Linked DNA regions of Rhinolophus ferrumequinum. The protein of the gene in region 3 binds, or shares a complex with, the protein of the main gene of each other region. Links are inferred from orthologs where the notes say so. Each region holds a gene or a part of one and is shown on either strand. Other genes may lie near its edges. The genes, in order: PA2G4, SRSF1 and ARVCF.

Evidence for each region.
Region 1: ARVCF (region 3) and PA2G4 share a complex: the UniProt entries of both Homo sapiens proteins name them as parts of the ribonucleoprotein complex. The link is inferred for Rhinolophus ferrumequinum from reciprocal best matches to the Homo sapiens genes ARVCF and PA2G4.
Region 2: ARVCF (region 3) and SRSF1 share a complex: the UniProt entries of both Homo sapiens proteins name them as parts of the ribonucleoprotein complex. The link is inferred for Rhinolophus ferrumequinum from reciprocal best matches to the Homo sapiens genes ARVCF and SRSF1.

Annotation. Positions count from the first base shown.
Region 1 is NC_046293.1:55,467,803-55,475,517, reverse strand, and holds the start of PA2G4 (proliferation-associated protein 2G4), read right to left. Parts: upstream 3,326-7,715; 5' UTR 3,117-3,325; coding exon 3,029-3,116; intron 1,147-3,028; coding exon 1,018-1,146; intron 759-1,017; coding exon 653-758; intron 562-652; coding exon 492-561; intron 253-491; coding exon 160-252; intron 1-159. Other genes in the region: ERBB3 (receptor tyrosine-protein kinase erbB-3), read right to left, coding at 5,415-5,941, 6,020-6,314, 6,749-6,820, 6,980-7,168, 7,261-7,358, 7,450-7,596. UniProt on the Homo sapiens protein: May play a role in a ERBB3-regulated signal transduction pathway. Seems be involved in growth regulation. Acts a corepressor of the androgen receptor (AR) and is regulated by the ERBB3 ligand neuregulin-1/heregulin (HRG).
Region 2 is NC_046304.1:27,597,567-27,605,822, forward strand, and holds the start of SRSF1 (serine/arginine-rich splicing factor 1), read left to right. Parts: upstream 1-4,972; 5' UTR 4,973-5,131; coding exon 5,132-5,325; intron 5,326-5,736; coding exon 5,737-5,921; intron 5,922-6,259; coding exon 6,260-6,432; intron 6,433-6,632; coding exon 6,633-6,827; 3' UTR 6,828-8,256. UniProt on the Homo sapiens protein: Plays a role in preventing exon skipping, ensuring the accuracy of splicing and regulating alternative splicing.
Region 3 is NC_046308.1:24,485,181-24,493,209, forward strand, and holds the start of ARVCF (splicing regulator ARVCF), read right to left. Parts: upstream 3,366-8,029; 5' UTR 3,132-3,365; intron 1-3,131. UniProt on the Homo sapiens protein: Contributes to the regulation of alternative splicing of pre-mRNAs.

The DNA.
Region 1 (7,715 bases), on a different chromosome or scaffold from region 3:
TCTTCTCTTACAGAAATCCCATCGGAAGTGGTAGCTGATTTAAAAAAACTGTTTTACGAGAGGGCTGTGGGCAAAGTTGGCAGTGCAATATAGAATCGCTGTAGATGCCTAGTGTAGCTTTGGCTCTATCAAACTTTGGAGCTAGACTAAACAGCTTACCTGGTTTCCAGGTTTGACCAGGCGTAGGGCAGCTTCCGCACAAAGGTGAGCTGCCTTAATGACATCTGCTTTCCTCCCTGTTACTTGGGTCCCCTGTAGATAAGGAAATGCAATCAGTGTCTTCCTGGAAAGTTCTTTAACTCAGCTGGTTATTCAGTTAATATCCCTGTGCCCACTATGTAAGGTCAGCCAATGAACAAGAGAAATCACCCTTTTTCCTTTTATTTCTCCAGAGACTCTCTCAAAACTCACTTGGTGGTAGGGCGTGGGAATAAGAAGCAAGCAGCAGTGCACGCTCACAGGTTGAACAAAGTTCAAAGCAGGCCACCTACCTGAGCTACATCAACCACAAAAGTGTGAGCCACATTAGCGATGAAGCCATCCACATGGACCCCAAGGTCACTGAGAAGCAAGACCAGAGTACAGCATTAGCAACTGGGACTATATAAATGCTTAGGAAAAAGACAAGTGCTCTAAAACAGTTTAAGCTTACATTTTTACCAAGTCACCTTCCTTGAGAATATAGTCCTGGTCGCTCTTCAAAGGGGAGAAGTGACATACACAGTTATTTACTGAAATGCTGGTGGGAAAGGCAATACCTGTAGAGACAGAATCATCAGCCTTACTGCCTTGCTCTCTCTTGGAGCCCTGTTGCCCCTCAGAAGAATGGAAGGATTTTCTTCAGGGTCTTGCCTAAGTTTAATAAGTTTGGATTGCGTAGCAAACTGCTTGTAACCCACTTGCCATTTCCAACTTCCAAATATCTCAACTAGAGCTGGGGTGAGAGTTGCATCATTATGACAAACAGGAACAAATAAGGGTCAAACTTGGGAAATTAGTGGGGGACTGATTTTTTACCTTTCTTCATTTCTTTTTCTTTCTTGAAAATTTTCCCCGTCTCTTCCATAATCATGGCATCACCTTTCTCACACAAGCTCAGTACCGACACACCTGAGCAGGATGCTTCCACCAGAGACCGAAGTACCCCTAAGGACAGAACCCCACCATGTCAGTCCTGCATGTGCTGTCTAAAGTTACAATCCAAGCAATACCTAAGAGTTGGACCCAGAATGTCTAATATTCTCTAGTGCCACTGCCCTAAGGCTGAAAGAGGAAACAAGTTTTGCCTCTTGGAATGTACCTACCTTTAATCTCTAAATTTCTACCTTCCTTTCCTAAAATAAAGAAGTCAACACTCCCTTCCCTTCCTTATATGTGATAACTGGGTGTATACAATCTGTCTCCCTAGGCAAGGGAGACCTTCCACACATACCTACGGTGTGGTAGGACAGAATTATGAACTTCAAGGGGGTCCTCATGAAGGTATCCCACATACATGCAAAACAGACCAAAAGAAATTTATAGGCGTCAGGGACAACAGGAAGGTAGGCACACAACTGCTGACTCCAAGCTGATGCATTGTGAAATGCTACCTTCTCCCTTCTCAGACACCTCAATTAGGTGTTAGTAATTTAATTTATGTAGACTTATTTCCTCACAAACAAGTGTATAAGCCAAGGGGACTTAATCTAAGGTCCCTGGGCTTCAGCAGGCTCATGGCTTACAACTTTTAGCAGATCATAAAAAGGTATGTGACCCAAAAGTTCTAAACTGTTATCTGCAATCGCAAGTACCTCAGAAGTTCTAAATTGCAAAAAAGTTTTCTTCTGATTCAAACCACTAATATCAAATACAAAAACGTACCAAAAATGGGGATACCATACTAAATGTCCATTATGTTATAAAGCATCTCCATGGCCCATCCTGAATTCTAGGTTTGATTTTTGTGATCTAAGTTTTGGTGAATCTTTGGAAGGCTGAAACTCATGTTTCCAGCCATTGGACCAGAGGCACTCTAAATACCTAGCTTTACTATCAAAAGCATTTAAAAGCCCAAAGACAAGCAGTTTCTGTCCTCTCAACTGGGTTTTAAATTGGAAAGGTGAATTGGAAATAGAGAAAATAGAAAGTGAGACATCTGCCTAGAGTGGCAGGCAGCTGCTGAGAAAGTCAGAGCAGTCCTAATAAGGATGACTTCTGAGATCCTAAAATCGGTCCCCCCTCCCCTTTCCAGTACTATTCACAAGTTTGTCTAGTTGGGGTGAGGGCCTCAAAAACATTTCTGGAGTTGTCAAGCTCGAGATCAAATACAAAGGCTAAGAAAGGCTATCTGCACAGATTGACGGTAGTAATGAGTATCTTCAAGAAAAGCCAGATACATCTCAAAGAGGGTGTGAGGAGCTCCACGGGTGCCTTCCAACGGTCCCAAAGCTGGCCCAAGAGTAGAATGGGGCGCCCACCAGGGAAAGAGTTGAAGTTAAGAACCAAAGACTTCAGTAAAGCACGTGGTAGAGAAGCTGGTGTCAGGGACGGTAAGCGGAGGAAGAAGGCAGCCAGCGATCAGCACAGGAACCCGGCAACACGTGCCGGCTCGACTCCTCACGCCCCGAGAGCCGCGACAAAATAGAGGGGCGCTCCCGTCGCCAACATCTGGGTGCTTCCTTTTCGAGGTGGCCTCGTCGCTGCCCGAATTAGAGGCGGCAGGGATCCGGACCAAATGGTGAGGGGCAGGAGACGAACCTTGCCTCCTTACTAACGTCCTAGGGTTCGCGACGGCCAGGGACCCTGCTCTGAGCTCTTCCCCGTCGCCGCCCCGCACCTCCAGACTCCAGCCCAGGCCTGGACGCTCAGGTCCCAGGCGCGACACAGGAGTCTTCCCACCACGCCACCCTCAGCGGACCGGCGCGGGGCCCTCAGTAGCTCACTCTGCTTGACCCCACCGCTCCAGCCCCTCCAGAGCCCGCCCAGTACCATCCTCCTTGCCTCTTCCTCTCAGACTAGATCCCCGGACCCCTGAGGCCGCACTCACGGTTGGCGATGTCGCCCCCCATCTTATACTTGGTCACGACCAGGTCCTCGGCGATAGTTTGCTCCTGCTGCTCGTCCTCGCCCGACATCTTCCCGCCGCCACCACCACTGCAGCCTCGTCCCCCCGAGCTGCCGCCTCTGTCTCCCTCGCTAGCCACAGGCTGTGGTCTGAGCCCCTTCGATTCGCGAGGAGGAGAGCGCGAGCAAAAGCGCGAGCAAGCAAGGGAGCGGGCGGGAGGGCGAAAGCGAGAAGGTGCGAGCGCGCGGGCTGAGGCGCAGGGCACGCTGGGACAACGAGTCCTTTCCACAGCCAGCCTCTAGCCGCCCTCTTGGACTCGTGAACTACAACTCCCAGCCTGCCTTTCGCGCCCCTAAACCAGGCCCTGGGGCCTTGCCCTCCGAGGGCCTCGCACGCTGGAATCGCCGGGCACGCTGGGAAGGGTCAGGCTCCAGTGGGAAGGCGGAGCCGTTGGGAGTTTAAGAAGCGTGGTCTCTGCGGGAAAAACCGTGTCCACCAGGAGCCTTGAACTGGAACCTTTAATGGAGGGGGGCGGGGGGCGGGCTGAGGGAGAAAAGGCGGAGCTACCCGCGGGGAATTGGGTTTGGAGGCGGTGGGGCAGGGTGGAGCCCAGGCGATTGGGGGTGACTAGGCTCAGGGCGGGGATCCCTGGAGCGGCTGGCAGGACCGGCTCTGCGGGTCCAGTCGTCCTCCGATACTAGGAGAACCGGGAGGGGCCGAACGGGTTTGGAAGGAGACCAAGGAGCAGGGACTTAACTGGGCCCGCGGACTCCGAAGGGATTATCCATTTACAGCCTCCCAATCTACAGACCGGACTCCCACAGAAGATGGCACTATTGTTCCAACAAATAAGCTTTGATGGCACCTAAGCGAAGTGTTCACGGCGACTTTTTTAAGAGAATAAGAGTTCTGAAACCTGGGAGTTTCAATATTCCACCTCTTGAGGGAGCACATCTATAGGGCTTTTTCAAACTTTCCCAAACTTTTTTTGTTATTCCCAGTTGGTCGCCTTGTAGATTCCTAGTAAAACCTTTAAATGAAAAGAACTGTGCGCTATGCTTCTCTTAAGGGAATACAAGGACAGTGGAGGGCTGGAGAAAGCTGCATGGGAAAACAGACAAAGCAGAGGGGGGAAGTAGCTATTGTTTGCTGAGGAGTAGAGAAAAAGGGTGGTCTAACACTAAAGGTTTTCTTCATTTAACAGACAGAAAGCTGAAAAACGTTGGCATTTTTATTTAGATACGTATAAAAACAAAACAAAAAACTTCAGTGATATAACAGATACCCCCAGTTTCCCATCCAATGGGACAGAGGTCTGAAGAGAGGTCCTCTTTCTATTCCAACTGGAAGCTTCCCATTACTGGGTGAGAATAGCTCCTAAAAGTGGCTCCTGGGCGACCCTTATGGATCTGTCTCTTGGGTAAGAGATCATTAACAGCACACATAGGTTATGGTTTACAAAGATGTCTGCTTATTTTTCCTTCTGACTACCCCACCCCCATTTCCTGAGATGAGAAGTCTGGGTTTAGGAGGCTGTGGTTGTTGGAGTTAGACTTGATTCAGTGCAAAAATAAGACAATGCCCCCTACAAGGACTCTGACTTGTATCACTTTTCCTTGATACCTTACAGTAAGAGCACATGGATTGCAAGAATTTGAATCCTGGACCTGCCACTTAGTTTACTTTATCTCTTTAAGGCTCAGTTTCCTTATTTGTAAAATGGGATAATATCTAGCTCACAGAATTGGTGTAAGGATTAAGTGAGATAATGTAGGTAAAGTTTAGCAAGATGCCTGGCACAAAGTAAAGGCTTAATTAATAGTAATCATTAATATCTGCTTTTTCTTCACAAGATTTTAACCTTCCCATTCTTTCTAGGGGGTTAAGAGTCTTATACCAAAATTTTACTTTCCCCCTGCCAGGTTTTGCCCCTTTTCTCTTCCTTAGGAGTCTGATGAGAAACAAAGGCACACTGTGAAGCCCAGTCTCCACAAGTTAAGAGTCTGAGAGAACGGAACATGATATGGGAGTAATTGTATGGATATGGGATATGATAAGGGAATAATCCTTCATATCTCCAGGGAGTTCCCCTGAGAAAGCAGAGGAAAGGGATTGGGAAAGAAAACAAAATAGGGAAAACCTTCTCCTTTCCAGGGAATGGCAAAGAGAAGAAAGTGCACAGTTGGCTACATACCACAAGAATTTTGTGTCAGTATTTAAAAGCCTCCAGAAATTGAATGGAATTGTCTAGGACTAGGGAGGAAATGGGACTGAGACCTGTGAGGGACAGGGACTACGGAGAAGAGGGGTACCCTCTAGAGGCGTGAGCTGCCATCAAATGCTCCCTGAGTACCTCGGGGAGCAAGGGTTATGTTCTCTGGGCATTAGCCTTGGGGAAAAGCCTGCTATGCCAGTAATCAGGGTTGTCAAAGGCAGAGTCTGTGGCTTCTAAACTACGTAGAGTTTTGAGGCGGGCATAATGGACATGGGGGGCATGGTGTCCAGACCCCTGGAAAGCTCTCATCTCTTCATAACCTTGCTCAGCTGCTGGGCAAGCGCCCATGGCTGCATAGTCTCCCCCAGGACCTCCACCACCACGTCGCCTATTCATATATTCATAGTCCTCGTCTGGAGTTGTGCCAGCAGTGGGCATGATGGGCACAGGGTGGAGCGGGCAACTCTGTGTGCTGCCCAGGGAAGCACTGAGATCGGACCCCACATCCATGTACTCATAACCAAGCTCTTCGAGGGAACTTGGCCTGGGGGGACGAGGTGGACTGTGCCTTCTCCTCCGGTTCATGTATTCATACTCCTCATCTTCATCTTCTTCTTCAGTACCCAGGACAGAATTGAGACCCACAGAAGAAAGGGTGCCTTCCCGGGAAGAAGGAGTACCTAGGGGTTGAGAAGAGAGGCTAGCTATGCGGAAAACTTCACCATAATAAGCAGTGGGGAGAAAGGGGAGGCAGGCACCTTTGAGGTGTGCATCTGGCATGACGTAACCATTGACATCCTCTTCCTCTAACCCTGGTGGGGAGAGTGAGGTGACAGGAGGAAGCAAGCTGTGGCGCTGGGAATGGTAGGCACTGTCTCCGCGTGGCCGTGGGCTGCGGCTCCGGCTTCTACACATGGACACCTTCTCCTGGAGCTCAGTCTCAGAGCCTGTCACATGGCCCTCTGATGACTCTGATACCAGGCGCCCCCGTGGCATCGGGTGCAGAGAGGCTGGACGGGAGCACCGTTCACTACCCGCACAAACTGTAGACTCCTAAGAAGGAAAATAATAAACGGAGATTTACACAGAGACAAAGAAAAGAGATTAGGTAATTCAATGCATTTTTTTTTAAAGCCTTTTTTTGGGGGGAGGGAATACTGGGGAACAGTTTGTTTCTCTAGGGCCCATCCATCAAGCTCCAAGTCGTTGTCCTTCAATCTAGCAGCTCAGCTCTAAGTCCAGTCATCGTTTTCTATCTTAGTTGCAGGGGGCGCAGCCCACCATCCCATGCGGGAATTGAACCGGCAACCTTGTTGTTCAGAGCTCGCGCTCTAACCTACCGAACCATCCTACCGCCCTCAATGCCTCCTTTTTTGTAGGACACTGATTAAACCTCAAAGGTTTCTAAAATCTCCTACACTACCCGTCGATCCTAAAACATTCTGTCACCCAGCCTCTCAGCAGCTCCTTAAAAAGGCAGGCCTTACCTGACAAGCCTCCCCAAGATTACTCTGGTTCATAGGCATATATCCAGATGATGGACTTAAAAGGTTCTGGCTCTAGGATGAAAAAAACGTAAGAAAGAGGTTTAGACAAAGGCAAAAATCTTATCATGGGGCCTTTGAGTAGTTAATGTGGGCATCTGTGGGGTTCACGAGAGTGCAGGTGTGCAGACGCTCAGGGTGCACAAAGTCTTGGGTAACTTGAAAGTATCTTACCCCACGTGGCCGATTAAGTGTTCCAACTGGCAGGCTGAGGACGGAGCCTAGTGTTGTCACCAGGTTGTCCTCCTCTGCCTCCAAGTCCAGGTCAAGGTCTAGTTCTGGCTCCAGTTCTACTTCTTCCAGTTCCTTGTTTGTCAGAGCAGGTGGCTCTGCCCCAAGAGGAATTCCAGGTCCACTCTCTCTCTGTAGAGACAGGTGATTGTTAAGATAGATTCTGGTTCCCGCCAAGTCCCCTTTGCTCTAAATACCCTTGACACCTCCTAGTCCCTACTCACCTTTATGACCAGATACCGTGGTGGGTCTCGGGCCATCCTCGTGAACTCATTGGCTAGTTCTTTAAAGGTTGGGCGAATGTTCTCATCAATCATCCAACCTGGAAGTAAGATGTAGAAAGTAGGACCATTAAGAGGGGAGCGGTGTAGGGAGGGAAGTCACAATATGGCTGGCATCAGCAGGTAACTCACACTTGACCATGACCATGTAGACATCAATGGTACAGATCTGGGGCTGTGCCAACCGCTCCCCCTTCTCCAGCAGATCTGGTACTTCAGCCAATCGGAGCCCTGCATAGGGCTCTGCCCCAAATGTCATCAGCTCCCAAACTGTCACACCTGGTACAGGAAGACATGACTAGTTGATGGCAAAATAGTAGAAATGGGAATGAAGATGAAGGGAAGGCAGAACTTGTTCTGACACAAGGATCTGAAGGCTTTGGAGATTCTAAAAAGGG
Region 2 (8,256 bases), on a different chromosome or scaffold from region 3:
AAGGAAGGACCCCATGGACATGGGTTTAGATTGTAGACTACACAAGTCTCCACATCTAGTAGCCCTCTGGGGCCAGCATGGTGGTACCAGCACCAGCCTGAAAACTCGTGGGATCCCAGAACTGTAGAACCTAATCTGCAAATTTTGGAAATTTCATTTGCAAATTCCACACTGAGTAGACATTGATATTTACTTAGAACAAAACCTGTTATGGACTCTTTGCATGCAACATCACTTCTATGCAAAAATGGTTCCAGAAACCCACACTCTGGCAGTGAGCATTTTGAGCCAATTAGAGTACCCCCCCCACAAAAAAAATGCAACCAACTGGAACAGAGCAACAGCTCCCGTTCTAGGCTGGCAGACCAGCAGGGGAGTTTGCTTTCACCAGGTCTTGGTACCTTATCACTAAACTGTAGTAATGACTGATGAAGCATGTGGAAGCAACATTTCACTTGAAAAAGTGTATTACTTATGTTTACAACTATTAACAATGTAAGATCTTACCCATGACAAAAACACCTATGAGACAGAGAACATGACAACACTGAATATTTGAATCAGGTTCAAGCAAAAATTACAAAAGCAGACTATTTCCTGGCAAACATTTTCTGTAAAGGGCCAAGTAAACTTGTGGACCATGTAGTCTATGTTGCAACTACTCAACTCTGCAAACAAATTTAGAAAAGTAATTCTGAGAGTTTTCAGCTAATCTGGGGTACTTTCTAAAACAATAAAGAGGAAAAAAATAATCACTCTCTCAAAATTTCAAATAAAAGTTTATTGAAATTACTTCTAACATACTTGGCATCAGTATTAACATGTAATACCACTATTACTACTAATAGCTAACATTTATATAGGACTCACACTATAAGATTTAATTGCCAAAAAAAAGGGCAATATTTTTAGCAAATAAAGCATACCTGCCATATTTTTAATATAATTCCTTAAAGACCCATTTACTCACTCCAGTTAAGAAATGTGCAATATGAAGTGGAGTTTCAATTTTTAAGAGAAAGAGCTAAGTAGGAAGAGGGAGAGAGAGAGTAATAATTAGGAAGAGGAAGACATGATGACAATATACCTCTTTGTAATAGATCACTTTGAGAGCTATTTTCTGGCAAAATCATATCCTACTGGCATCAATGATGGAACAATAAAGGTGGAAAGAATTAGCCAAAAATAAAACTAGAACCAAAGAATGAGGGAGGCCAGTCCTAAAATATGATTACCAAGAAAATATTATTTGTTGACTTATTTGAGCTTGAAAACTGGCCATCCTTACGATAGTGAAATGAAAAACCATCCTTATACCCATTGTGTCTATCCACTGACAGCAACATGATGATGTTTCCATAGAAACAACATTCTGCTCATCTAACATCCCACCTTTTTCAAAGAGCAGTCAGTAAATCGTCAATATTGGTTTTAACAGAGAATTTACTGGTAATAAAGGAAGTTACAGCAGAAATCTGTCCTCAGCATAGTTTACTAGTGAAAATGAGACAAACATAAATTAAATAAAAAGACATATACTACTTCTTCCTTTTTCAAGAATATTTACAACTAAAACAAGTGGAACAATGAATACAGAATTATGCAAGTGAACTGTTCCTGGAGATAACTCCCGTACACAATATTCCGAATCTTTGTGTCTCTTTCTTTACCTAGTAAAAGTAAGTTATCCCCAAGGAAGACAAGCATTGGCATTGACACATGAATATTAAAAACAGAATTTCCAGATTAGGGTAGCCATATTTCGGTGCAAATTACTCTGGAACACTCCCACCCCAGTAATGCCTTTAGAGGAATGGTACTACAGAGTGATTTTGCTACTTGTGGAGTTATTTTCCCCCCAGTCATTTTTAACAAGTTTTGAGTTATACTTTACATACTGTACAACTCACTCACTGTAAGTGCACACAATTCAATGATTTTTAATATATTTACAGAGTTGTGTAACTATCATCACAGGTATAGAGTTTTGAGTGTTCAGCAAATCACTGAAAAATTGGGTCTTCTGATTTCAACATTAACAGTAATTAACTTTTTGAATTTCTTTCTTTTCTATTTCCCCCCCCCCAAGTAATTATTTCCAGGGTAAAGTATAGTGCTAACACTAGCATATGCTTACTAAATTGGACTGAAAGCATTTAAAGAGTTTCTTTTTGAGGAAGTCACTTTTCCTCAAACACCAACAGTGTTAAAAATAAAGCAGCTTCTGAGAATTAAGCTGGTAAAATCCATACTTAATAAATTAGCTAATTGTGGGAGCAATCCATATAACTGCCTGTGAATGTATAACTGAGGAGTTTAGAAACACTCTAAACCTCTAATTAAGAGTAGGATGTAATCTCAGAAGGCAAAACTGCAAGTGGTTGTAATTCAGTCAGCAGAAATCTAATCAATTGCCTAGCACACTGTTTAGAGAAAGTTGAGTGAAGATTAGCCTACAGAAAGAGAATTGCCAGTCTTACCCAGCTCTGTCCAGAGACACAAAATCCAAGGGGTATGAATTTTCCTGTCATTGAAGAGGTATACTCTGTGTGGAGCAGGGATCATTTAGCAGGTCTCACCATGATCTGAATAAAATATCTCTCAAAATGACTCACCTCATTTTGAGTTCTCATTTACTAAGCAACTTCCTGATTTGCTTTCCAGACCTGCCAAAACAGTTATCTTGGTATGTACAATTTGAGCATACTAGTTATCAAAAATGAATCTGCCCCACCACCCAACAAATGAACAAATCATTTTATTTATTTGCTTTCTTGTGGACTAAAATATGTTCATCAACTCTGGTACACTAATAATATCACACCCCGTAACTGTAATAATCACCAAGCCAATGTCATCCTGGGAGACCTTGATAAACAGCCGTCCAGACCTTTCGTGCCACATCCTGACCTCATCATGGACCCCAGAACCTATAATTTGGTTCTATTCAAATACAATAAAAGATGCCAATAGAGAAACAAGAATGTCCCATTCACTCATGTTAAAGTCTACCTTGTGTTCTTCTTAATTAAACAAAATCATAAATGATTTCATTAAGTCAAACACTCAAGAATAAATCAAAGCAAATTCACAGTTTTCTTATTTTTCTGGAATGAAAATGTCTTGAAATTAAACGCACCTATGTTTAAATCACTTCAGTTATCACTTACTTAACATTTATCAACAGAAGATGAACACGAATAATTCCAAATTGATGGATAAAAGTTAGAACAGAAAGAAAATGTGCTCAGTAAATAACTTGAATGAAAATAACGAATACATGAGATGACTGCAATTTTAAAAAAATTTCTCATCTCTCTGCTACAAACCAACTAGGACAGTGCTAGAAACTGAGTAAATTTGTTAAAAAATAGTGTCCATTTGGTCAGCTTCTCATTTTAAAAATTATCAGGGGTGGCCCATTAGCTTAGCTGGTTAGATCGTGGAGCTGATAACACCAAGGTTCCGGGTTTGATCCACGCATGAGCCACTGTGAGCTGCGCCTGCTTTTAAAAAAAAAATTATCAAGTTGTTCTCTTTTTAATTAAAGTCTTGGTTTCAAAAATATCATTGAAGGATGGTCAAGCGATGTCCTTCCCTCTAAAATTTTAGGAGGTTCCTTTTCCTTTTGGGACCTACAGCCCCCTTTAAGAATCAGATTAAAATTTCCATGCACATACATATACACATAATTTTAGAAACCATCACAGACAGTTCAAGGACTACCAAACATTTGTAAAATACATTCAATCAACTTTTAGAACTAAGAAATAATGACTATCTCCTAAACGATCTATTTTTTTAATCTCAAAGACACTTTGGATTTAGAATATCCGCACTTGTGCTCCTGACTTTACTGTGACTTCTGGGATGACCAGTCAAATTTGCAGTCCTTCTCTAGGAACTCACCAGACTATTACTGCAGGCATTTTGTGTAGTAACCTTATCCATGACTTCATCTTAACCCTCCCTCATTTTCCCATTCTCCCTGATTTCATCCAGTTTTAATAATTTTTTATGGTTATCTCTGCAAATTGCCTCACATTCCTGGGGAGAGGGATTGTTGCAAATAAATGTATAATGTATTTTAACATATGTACGACTGTAGGGGTGTTTAAAAAATTTGAATTCATTTACTAATATTTTAAAATCCCAACATTTCACATAAAAATTCAGATTTTAAATATCTCTGGGGGAAAAAAATGTAAAAAGTTCTTATCTCCCTGGGATAGCATGGAAGTAGGATCAATCCTGAGCAGCAACTATGGTCTCCAGTGATCACAATTCTCACATATCCATTTTGCCCATTTATATTACCTGAAAGGACCGGTAATGAGTTCAAAAAAAGGAACGAACGAATCACCGCCACTAGCACAAGGAGTGTTGAATTGAGCTATACTAAGTTTTAAACCAAAGGTGGACCCGTACTGACTGTACAATATTTACTAAGAAATCTAAGCTGGTTCCCTAAATCAGACACTTGTCTAAGCCGGCCAAGGCTTGTTCGCAGAAGGGGCAGGAAGACAAAGTCACGCCTTGGCTCCCGGACTAGGCGCACTCTCCGAGTTCCCCGTTTCCAGAGCAACTGCCTGGTCCCTCCCCCTTTGACTCCGCCCCCGGGAGTCTTTTCCCGCCAAAGGCCGTTGACGCCGCAGAGCATGGTGGGACAGGCTCTAGGCTAGGTTTCACCAAATCCTTTCAAGGGATCGAGTTGCTTTAAAGAGGTTCATTCCTGAGGAAACTGACTTTCTCTTAAGAGTCAAAAGGGATCAATAACCCCTTTAACGAGGGCTCTGTATCTTTTTACCAAACGGCTGGTCACTCCATTAGCAAACGACTCCGCAAATCCGCAACGCGGGGAACTTTTTTTTCCCTTTGCGCGGAGGGTAACGTCGCGCGTGCGTAAACGTACTTTCGCAGCACCCGTTACGCTCGTGCGCGTGCGTACTGAGATCAAATAGCTGCTTCCTCCCGCTTCTCTTCCTCCCTCCCCCCATATCCGTGCGCCGAGCTGATAAAGGCGCCATTTTGGAGGGGCCGCGGGAGACGTGGTGTCGCTGCGGGCTCGCTCTGCCGTGCGCTAGGCTTGGTGGGAAGGCCTGTTCTCGAGTCCGCGCTTTTCGTCGCCGCCATGTCGGGAGGTGGTGTGATTCGTGGCCCAGCAGGGAACAACGACTGCCGCATCTACGTGGGTAACTTACCTCCAGATATCCGAACCAAGGACATTGAGGACGTGTTCTACAAGTACGGTGCTATCCGCGACATCGATCTCAAGAATCGCCGCGGAGGGCCGCCCTTCGCTTTCGTTGAGTTCGAGGACCCGCGGTGAGGCGGCCTGGGCCTTGCGGCCTTGTGGAATTAGGTTGGAGTAGTTGGGGAAAGCTCCACGGCCTTAACATAGAGCATGGGAAGGTGGCTTTTAGGTTGGGGGCAAGACGGTATCGCCCAGGCAGGAGTTGAATAAGTAGCTGAGTTCGTGTGGCTTTTCGGATGGCTGGGCCCCATGGACTTTCTCAGACCGACTTAGTCTCGTAGCGGGAAACTGAGGCGTTGAGGGCTGGTGTAGTCTGGAGCCTGGCGTGCTTCTGGGTGGGGGAGGGGCTTTTCCTATTATGCGGCGCATGTGGGCTCTTCCACGCTGGGTGCGCATGTGCGGGGGGTCGCTAGTTCCCGGCTGAGTTAGCCGCCTCTCCGGGTCCTTTTTCTTACTTCTTTTTGCTTTCTGTGATCACGCAGGGACGCGGAAGACGCGGTGTATGGTCGCGACGGCTATGATTACGATGGATACCGTCTGCGGGTGGAGTTTCCTCGAAGCGGCCGTGGTACAGGCCGAGGCGGCGGCGGGGGTGGAGGTGGCGGGGCTCCCCGAGGCCGCTACGGCCCCCCATCAAGGCGATCTGAAAACAGAGTGGTTGTCTCTGGTGAGTTTACTGTTAATGTGGATTGATGAGAAGGGACAGAAACCACTTAACGTTTTCCTTGCGTGACCAATTTGACAAATGGAAGTTTTAAATTTAGCTTTCTGTGTGAATTGAGGAAACAAGGGTTACTGCGATGGAGATTTATCAAATTAGGTTGCAGTACCTAGAATATGAAGATCCTTACCTTACAGATAATTTTGGAGTCCGGATTCCAGAATCTTAGCTATTTACCTAGGATCTTAAATATAATCATTGTTAAAGTAATCTTTGTTCTAATGTAAATTAAGTTTAATGAGAAATTTAGGATAATTGGTATTGGAAAAAAAACACTTTTTCAGGACTGCCTCCAAGTGGAAGCTGGCAGGATTTGAAGGATCACATGCGTGAAGCAGGTGATGTATGTTATGCTGATGTTTACCGAGATGGCACTGGTGTCGTGGAGTTTGTACGGAAAGAAGATATGACCTATGCAGTTCGAAAACTGGATAACACTAAGTTTAGATCTCATGAGGTAGGTTATACACTTATTCTTTTCTTTGGCCAGAATTGGATACAGTGGTCTTAACAGTGGAATTTAAAGGTAAGATTTCAGGCAAGGGTGCCCAAGTAAAGTGCCAGATTTCTGGTTTTAGCTACATTGTATTCATTCAGCATGCCTGAAGACAGATAAAAGCTTAGATCTTTCAATCGAAAGTTCTGTCTATTCAATAGGGAGAAACTGCCTACATCCGGGTTAAAGTTGATGGGCCCAGAAGTCCAAGTTATGGAAGATCTCGATCTCGAAGCCGTAGTCGTAGCAGAAGCCGTAGCAGAAGCAACAGCAGGAGTCGCAGTTACTCCCCAAGGAGAAGCAGAGGATCACCACGCTATTCTCCCCGTCATAGCAGATCTCGCTCTCGCACATAAGATGATTGGTGACACTTTTTGTAGAACCCATGTTGTATACAGTTTTCCTTTACTCAGTACAATCTTTTCATTTTTTAATTCAAACTGTTTTGTTCAGAATGGGTTAAAGTGTTGAATTGCATTCTTGTGTAATATCCCCTTGCTCCTAACATTTACATTCCCCACATGTCTGATAAATTGTATTTTAAGTGATGTCATAGACAGGATTGTTTAAATTTAGTTAACTCTCCATGCTCTTCAGACTGTGATATTGTGTAAATGTCTATTCTGCTCTGGTTTGTGTGAACTGGGATATTGGGGGTGTTTGTGGTTCTTACCTGGGGAAGTTCTTATGTTTATCTTGCTTTTCATGTGTCTTTCTGTAGACATATCTGAAGAGATGGATTAAGAATGCTTTGGATTAAGGATTGTGGAGCACATTTCAATCATTTTAGGATTGTCAAAAGGAGGATTGAGGAGGATCAGATCAATAATGGAGGCAATGGTATGACTCCAAGTGCTATTGTCACAGATGAAATTGGCAGTATTGACCTTATACTAAAAGGCAAGGGTTAAAAATGATTATATGCATTTACCTTAAAACACTTGCAAACGTCTTATGCAGTTATATTTAACTACAATTGCTTTGCCTATTAAACCTTGGCAATTGTGGCAAAATTACATTGCCCATTTTGTAACTATTTTGCTCCCTTCCCCCCCTTTTTTTTGTTTTAATAGGGACTAATGTGGGAAGAACTGGCTAATTTGTCACAGTGCTTAGTTACAACTGTTAATGTGTGACCTGCTGTTGGTGTACATGTGGGTACAGGGTGTCTTTAATCCCAACCAGATAGAGTATAATATCAATACTGCTAAATCTGCATGTCCTCTGTGTGACTGATATAGCGTTGCTATTTCATTTTTTTAAGACAAAATGAAAGCAAATTACAGAATTCCAACATATTGATGTAGATAATCTAGTTGGGAATACTTTTTAAGTCTCACCTTCCCCTTTAAACTAATACTCATAATTGACTCATGTTTAAAACACTTTAATTTACAAATTAAACTGCAGGTGGGAACATTAGATTTAGTTTAGGCTTAGGTGGGTAGCAATATCAGTAAACTTTTCAACTACATAACTTTTTGCAACCACAAAACCTGTAATACGCTGTACAGTAACAAGTGTTGGCATTATCAGTTGAACTGTAAATAATGAAATGCTTCTTCCAATTAGTCTCTATGATGATTAAGTTTCTAAAATTTATCTGAACACCATTCAGAAACTTGTTTTGGGGAATTTGATAGTTATTGATGTACATCTATTAAACTGATGACAGACATAACTCATCATTCCCCAGAAACCTTTTTTGATTACAGTATCTAACATTTTGCCTCCTCTTTTTTGGTTTTGCTGGTTATAAAGGTTTGGATTGGAGAGGGCTCACTG
Region 3 (8,029 bases):
ACCACCCCCTCAGGGCTGGTCTGCAGTCTCTGGCGTCACCCACCATGCCAAGGACTTTACACTAAGAGCATTGGGTTCAAGGGAGCCACCACACCCCTTATCAGACCCACCCCCAGCCTTGGAAAGGCCTGCTGCATCTCTGACTAGGGAAACCCAGCCCAGGCTGCAAGAGCCAGCAATCAGGCCAGCACAGCAAGCTGTGGACCTGCACAAACCGAACAGCAAGAGGCAGCTTCCATGGGCACAAACCGAGTCTAGAGAAGGGATGGGGCCAGGGCAGGGCAGACGGGGCAGGTGTCTTGGGGCCACCGCAGGCATTGAAAAGCCCGGGTTCAGGTCCAGCAGGCCGCCTGAGCGCTAGCTCTGCACTGGAGCCTCGAGTCCTGCTGCACCATGGCAAATCCTATGTGCTCTTCCAGGCCACTGGTCACTCAGTGCGTCGTGGAAAGGCACCCACTTTGGCTGTACCCTCACATTTCACAGATGAGAACACCGAGGCAGAGAGACGCACAGCCCTGCCCTGAGTGGTGGGCTCATAGTCCTTGCCTCGACCCTGGTAACGGCATGGCCAGCCTACGGAAGCCAGGGAGACACGTGGGGCTCGCACCTGAAGGAGGCCTCACTCTCAGGGCTGTTCAGGTGCAGGGCCCGTCCTTCACTGTCCTTGCAGGAGCCCGTACTCAACCACCCCGCCATCCAGACCTCAAGTTTCCCTGGCCTGCACCAAAGGTAGTGAGGGGCTGTGGGGGTACCGAAGGGCCTTGTCCCAGGGATCCTTCAGCCTCCCACTCTGGACGGGCAGCCTGGAGAAAGCAGAGTTCTGGCCTCCCACTGGGTGCCCTAGGAAGGGTCCTGACCTCAGGGGCAGGCTGGGTAGAACAGGTCTTGCCTGCCATGGTGGTCCTGGATGCCCTCTGGTGGCTGCACTGGGCTAGCGGGTGCTTAACTAGAGGCTGCTGACCCCCGGGGGTCCACTGAGGCAGTAAGAAGTACTGTGCCTGACCCAAGATGAGGGGAGGCGAAAGCGGAGGAGCTGTGTAGGTGATGTGGGTATCCACCAGCTCTGGGTTCACCTTCCCGACCTGTGAAATAAGCCAAGATGTGCAGCCCTCCCAGGATTCCTGCTCCTGTGTCTCCCCTCTGGTCACTCCCTATTTCTGGAGCTCCTGCGGAGTGGCCCAAGACTCATCCTAACCTTGATAGAAGCTGGAGGCGAAAGAACAAATACCTTCTCCACACTTCAGCCACTATCAGGGAAGTTCCCTTGTGGCCCCCCAGAACTTGCCCCCAGAGCACCTGTCCTTCCCTGGTCCCCCACCCCAGTCCTGCCCCTCCCTCCCTCTGCTGAGCCCAGACCAGATACTAGGGGCTGACTGAGGCTCTGGCATGCCTGGGGTCCTTGCCCCTCCCATGGTGCTACAGTTCCTGGCTCCCCTTGGAGGCAAAGGATCCTACTGCTTGTGTCTCCCCCAAGCCTGTCTCTTGGGGTGAAGGGGGTACAGTGAACCCATCCTGAATCCTTGTGCAATACAAACAGGGATGGAGACGCAGAGGGGAACCCTGGAACTGGGAAGAGACTTGAGGAGCTACCTCTGGAGGCACCACGAAGTCCAGGTATGGCAGGGGCAGCTCTAACTTAATAGGGCTGGGGGCTGGGGGCTGGACCCAGTTCATCTAGGAGGTACTTGGTCATCAGGTACTAGTGTCCTATAGAAAATCAAGTGAGGAAGAACAGGGTGGGACTGGCTTGGCTGAACTTCTGTGACCCTCTCCAGGCCAGGACCAGAGTCCTGACCACAGCCAGTGCTCTGTGCCCAGCCCTGTGCTGGGTGCTGGCAGACCACAGGCTTGCGGGGGTGGTAAGGGCAGACATGGTGCAGCGGATGGGATGAGGCAAAGCTGGGAGAAAGCATGCCTTCCAGATTTATGGCCCCACATGCTGTGGCCGAGCTCAAGGCCTGGACCATCTGCTCAGAGATTGACTGGCCATGGGCTCAGCAGGCTGGGCAGAGGGCTCTGACTGGCTCCTGTGTCCAGCACTGTCCCAGGTTCAGAGATGCACTGAGCACAGGACAGGCAAGACCTGCTCTGGACAGACAGACCTCTGGCTGCATCCTGGATCTGAGAGTGGAGGCAGGGACGGTAGAGGGGATCCCTGTGCCCCTGGTGCTGTCCTTATGAAGGAGATTGACCCCAGAGGCACCAAGTTTATAAGCCTCTGGGTTTATTAAGTACCGACCTGGTGTGTACCCTGCACAGTTACATGGGTGACACGGGGAAGGGATGTAAACAAGGGGTAATTGAGGTTACATTAAGAACCTACCCTAAAGGATCAAACCCCTTTGGGCGGGTTCTTCTCTTTCCCTTGTTTCTAAACGTGGCTGGGTCTAAAGAGAATGGGAACCTGAGTGATACACTCTGCATAGGTTAGAAACGGTGACTTGTTTTAAGTACCCAATATTTAATTAAAAGTTAAAATAGAAGGCTAGGGATCCCAGGCTGCCCGCCCAAGGCGACATCTCAGCGAAGCCGGGCTGAGTACCACTCCGAGTGGGAGGACGCGCCTCCCTCGGCCTGGGGCCAGGTGTCCCACCGAGGCGGCGCTGGGCCCGGGTCAGGGCACCGGGCAGGGTCTCCGGGCAGCGTCCCCTTTCGTGTCCTCTAGGCGGCAGGAGATGCGCAGCGTGGGGACGTTCCTTTGGCCCCGTCGTGCCCCCGCGCTTCCCAGCGGCGCACCGCTCCGGGAAAGTTCCCGGGCCCCGCCGCCCCTCCGGCCGTCGGAAAGTTTCTGTAGCTGCCCAGCCCTGGCTGCGAGGCGCCCGGCGTCGCACAAGCGGACGCTGGATGCGCGCGGTGCGGGGCGCGCCGGCCGCTCGGGCAGGGCCCGAGGCCGTGCACAAAGGGACCCACCCCGCCAGACGAGGGTCTCGCGCACCGCAGCGCGGGCGACGTACGGGTGGGGCGGAGCCGGGCTCGGATCCCCAACCACGACCCCCGCCCGGATAATAGACTCCCGGCCCAAGACCCCGCCCCGACGGGGCTCCAGCCCATCCCGCAGCCGGGAGCCCGCTCGCACCTAGCTCTCCAACCCCCGTCCCCATGCGGACCTCGTCCCTGTCACCCCAGCATACCTGGAGCGCGACGTGGGCGGCTCCGCAGCTCGGCCCCCACCCCCAGGCGGGCGTCCCGGGTCCCAGAGCGCGCGGGGCGCGGCGTCCGCAAGGCGCGGTGTGGGTGGCCGTCTGCGGGGCCTCAGCTTGGGCCGGTGCAGAGGCTGACCATCCCAGGACCAGCGCGTATCCCCCGGGCTAGCCCTCCCGCCCTTCGCGCGGTCCGTGCGCAAAGCGGGCCTAGCCAGCGACGCGGTTTTCCGCTCCGCCCCATCCGACCGCGAATTTTCCCATTGGTTGGAAGACCAGGTGCGGCCCGGCAACCGGCGCCGATTGGACGGGCGCAGGGAGACGCGGGATTGCCATTGGGCCACCGAGATGTCCGTCCTGGCCGACGACCGACCCCCTCGTAGAGTGGTGGAGGCCGGGCACCTGCCTGGACCGCTGCGGCCCGGCACCTGCCTAGATCTCTGCGGCGGCGGCGGCGGAGGCCGCAGGGTATCCCTCTTTGGGCCGCCTTCCAGGACTTCCCCAGACCGTCCGGCCCCGAGTAGGGGCCGACAGGCCCAGCGCCCCCTCCCCGGACTCGGGCCGCGTTGGTCTCATCACCACCCCTAGTTCGCAGGTATCCTTCACCAGCACCTGCGGTAGGCCAGGCGCTGCGCGCAGCGTTCTCCTGTCCACGTCAAATTGTACTCCTCACACAACCCTGGAGGAAGAGTTCTGCTGCCATTCCATTTTACAGATGGGAAACTTAGGCTCAGAGAAGTTCTCAGTTGCTTTAGTCACCAGGGCTGGAATCCAGTCCATCTGATAACTGGGCCTGGAAGCTCTCCCACCCTCATCGCCCCAGGATTCCCACAGCAAAGGCGGGTGGGTGAGGGCCTATAGTGTTTCTAAGGGCAAGAAGGGACCCCTCAGAAAACCAGGGGTTTTCCGTCCCCATCAGGCCTGAATCTACAGACACACTGGGCTCAGTCCACTTTACAGGGCCCCACAGGACCGCCCTCCCTCATCTCCCTCATGCCATCCCGACAGATCTGGGCCTGGGGAGGAGGAATTTGTGCCTTTAACCCTCCTCCTCCCCTTCGTGGTGTCTCATTTCCTCCATCCTACCAGGGGTCGCAGAAGAACACTGGGTTTTAGCCACCTGGATTGTGTTTAGGGAAGGCTGCATTTCCTTGCCAGGTGAGAGCATCCACCTGGCCCTGCAATGACATAGGGCACATATGTGACCACAAATGGGACCATAACTTTAGGCCAGCTCCACTTCATGGTGTGGGGGGCACCAGTGGGGATGCTGCCCATTGGGGTTTGTTTCAGGGGGATCCTGAAATGGCCCTTTGACCAGTGACCCTGGCTCATTCTTGGTTCTAAGACTTTCCTGCCATGGTTGGACCAGATCTTCAGCTCACCATATTCCCCAAGGCTGCCCAGGGAGTCACACTGCCCATGACAGTGCTAATGGGGGGACCAGATATTCATGTCTTATCCACCCACAACATGAGGTCAGAATGTTCACCCAATAATTTCTTGGTCAGAACAAAGAAAGTAAATGACTTGAGGCTAGAACTCACCACTGGTCTCACCATTAGGTCCCCATGTGCCCTGTCACACATGGCAAATTGATCCCATCAGACTTTCAGAGCTAGGCAGCTGCCACCAATTGACTGGAGTTGGCACTTGAGGTGACAGCCATTTGGCCCCCTGACACAGGGATGTTGCTCAAAGCTCTGGGCGGGCAGAATGAAGTGTCCCTCTCTGGAACACAAAGGTTTCCTTGCACAAGATAACTCATCCCATGGAGCCACACCATCAATGACATTCTGGCCCAGCTGCCCCTGGGCTGGGAATTCTCTTTCTACATTTAGGAGTAGATTTAATTAGCCCAATGTTCAGTGGATCTCTCTGAGGGCATTGATTGTGCCCTGGTCCTTTGGGAGCCCCTCCTCTTACAGTGACCTTGTGGGCCAGCACCACCCCTCCCCCACAGACTTACTGATCATAGCAAGAGAGGCTGGGCAGACCTGCTGAAATTGTGCACCTAAATCATCCCAAGTGAGGACTGCCTCCCTTCCCCCTCATTCCTGGCAGGGTTCCAGAGACCCGTCCGCCCCTGAACTGGATCACCAGCCACATACAGAGGATCAGCGTGTGCAGCGACAGTTCGAAGAGGACTCAGGACCACTGTCTGGCAGTGGGCACACCATGACCCAAGTGGGGGTCAGAAAGTCAGAGGGCAGGAGAGGTGGCCTCGACCACTCCCCACTGCCACAGGGACCGGTAGCCCAGTCTCCTCCCTCTCCATGGCCACTGGCCAGCTCTGTAGGGATATCCCTGGGGCATGCAGGGAGAAAAAGATTTCAGCTGGATGTCAGGAAGAACTTTCCAACAGTTGCAGATGTTCAGACACCAAAAGGGTGGCCACATAATAAGGATGTCTAGGGATGTGTGTAATCAGAGGTGGGTGGCAGTGAGTCCCTTGTAGCCCTGAGACCCCAGGGCTCAGGTGCCCACCTCGACCCATCTAAATGGTCTTGTCTGCTTCCTAGCACCAAATGTCATCCAGATGGGAGTCAGCGGTGACAGTGAACATCAGAGTGCCTGCTCTGGCTCCATCTAGATGGAGGAAGAGTGTGGCTGGGGACTGGACTGGCCCAGGGCCATATGCTGCTCTCTGTGGCAGACTGGGATTTGAACTTCTGTCCAACCCACGCATGACTGCATCCCACTTTGCAGGCAATGGGAAAGCATTGCTAATGAGGGCCAATCTGTGTTCTACTCCTCTGCCCCAGTGGTCTGGGGCAGACCGCACTGCAGCTTCTGCTCCATACCCCAGGGCATTGTCACTCACCTCCAAGCCCATCCTGCTTATCCAACACTACCACCTCTTGGCTGGACTAAATGGTCCAGTGACCAGCCCAGCACAATACTGTTGCCGGATGGTGGAAGGGAAGACTGTGTGTCTTGCTGGATCTGCTGCCTGCTGGCCTTGAGTCCCCAGGTATCTGGAGTGCTCGCTTTCCATCCCTACAAAGGGCTTCTGTTGGGTTCCAGGAGGAACACAGATGAGACGGCGAAAGAGTGGGGTGAAATAGTGAGCTTTCAGGGGCATCATGCAGGTTTCGGTTTGACTCTAGCCTTTGCTGATTAACAGCCAGGCCCTTCTCTTTGTTTTCCACAGGGCATCAGCGCTCTGAGTCAGGATCAGGGAGCCTAGATCTTCAATGCAGGACTGTGGAGCTAATCCAGCCACTGTCATTTGCCACCTTGTCTTTTTTTTTACTTCAAACAAGCGACGTAACTGCTCTGAGTCCTCGTGTCTCCATCTGTAAAGTGGGATCAATGAGAGCTGTGTACTGGAACACTGGGCTTAGAGTGCTTAGCACATTGTTATTTTCCTTAATATAACTCTCATTCTTGTCATAGTTTGCTGAGCGCCCACTTTGTAGCAAGCCCCGGGCCTCTGACTCTACACTTTCCCTGCATTCAGGCCCCAGACAGATGGGGCAGGGAGCCCAGTGCATGCCTTTGTCCTGTTGGGAGGATTCCAGTCAGTGTCCTTTCCAGGCCTCTTGCTCACCTAGTCCGGATCAGTTTGGGCCAGCCTTTCATCCCTGGGGCCTGCACCTGTAGAAGAACAGCTTGGAGGTGGACTCAAAGGCTACGGTGGCTGGATGGGGCTGGAGTGCCTGGTCCAGGGCCTGTCCTGAGCATGGCAGGGATGTCAGGGGGTCAGAGTTGCAGTGGAGAGGATGGCCAGGTCCCAAGGCCCGGATTGGATGGACCAGAGAGGGGCTGGAGGCCGGCGGGGGTTGGGGGGGGGCACCAGGACCCAGCCTGAGGGGCGGGTCCGGAAATGAGCATCCCTGTAGTGCACAAGCCGGGGCCACCAGGTGGGCCGGTGACCGAGTTCAGACAGCGGCCCTGACGGGTCAAGCGGCTGCGACCTCCTGCGGGAGTCCCCGGGTCTGGAAGCCAGGAGGCTGGGAAGGCCGCGGGGGTCACGCGGTGTCCAGACACCAGCGCAGCCAAGAGGTTTGGCGCAGCCTCAGGGGCGGGGCTCTGGGAGGGCGTAGCCCCTGGAGCGACAGCGCACGTAGCCAACTGTGCCTCGGGTTGCAGCGCGCCGCTCTGTCCCTAGCCACGCAGCCGAATGGCTGCGCACAGACTGCGGCAGGGGCGGGGCCTGGGCGGTGGCGGCAGCGCGCGGGCGCGGCACCCGGAAGTCGGCGGCGGCGGAGGCGGTGAGTGCGCGGCTGGCTGCCCGGGCCTGCGGACTCCACTCCCCGCGGAGTCGGCTGGCCCGGGCTCGGGGGCGCGGGGCTCCGTAGGAGCGGGCGGGGAGGGGCGGGGCCGTACCCCCCTCCTGCCTCAGTTTCCCCTTCCCGAGGCGTGAAATGGAAATCAAGCTGCAGGGTCCGGGGAGACCAAACCGCCCAAGGCCAACGAAGGGCTCCACTGGGAGGCGTTTCCAGTGATCCCCGCCGGGTTGGGGTGGGGGGGCCACTGGCAGACCGGGCTGGTCTTGCTGCAGGGAAGCAGAGACTGGCGGGGCTGGGGGAGTTGCGTGGTGGGTGGGTCACGGCGTCGGTCAGCTATGGAGCCCTGAGTCACGCTGCTGCCTCCCTGCGTCCCGCTGCGGGTGCAGCGGGGTGACAGCTGTCTGAGTAGGCAGCAAGTGCTGGGTCATCCCTGTGCCTGGACATAGCTTTCCTGGCTGGGGTGGCTCAGGTAGCCAGACCCTTCCCCCAGCGCATCAGGGGTGGGGCCTGGGCAGAGTTGTACCCAGCCCAAGGCCTGGCCCCTTTGCTGGCCTTTGAGACCCCACCCCCCACCCCAGCACCTTCCATGCTTCCTGGCTTCATTCTGGGGCACAGCTAAGGGGAACCTTTGGACCAGTCCCTGAGCCTCAGGTC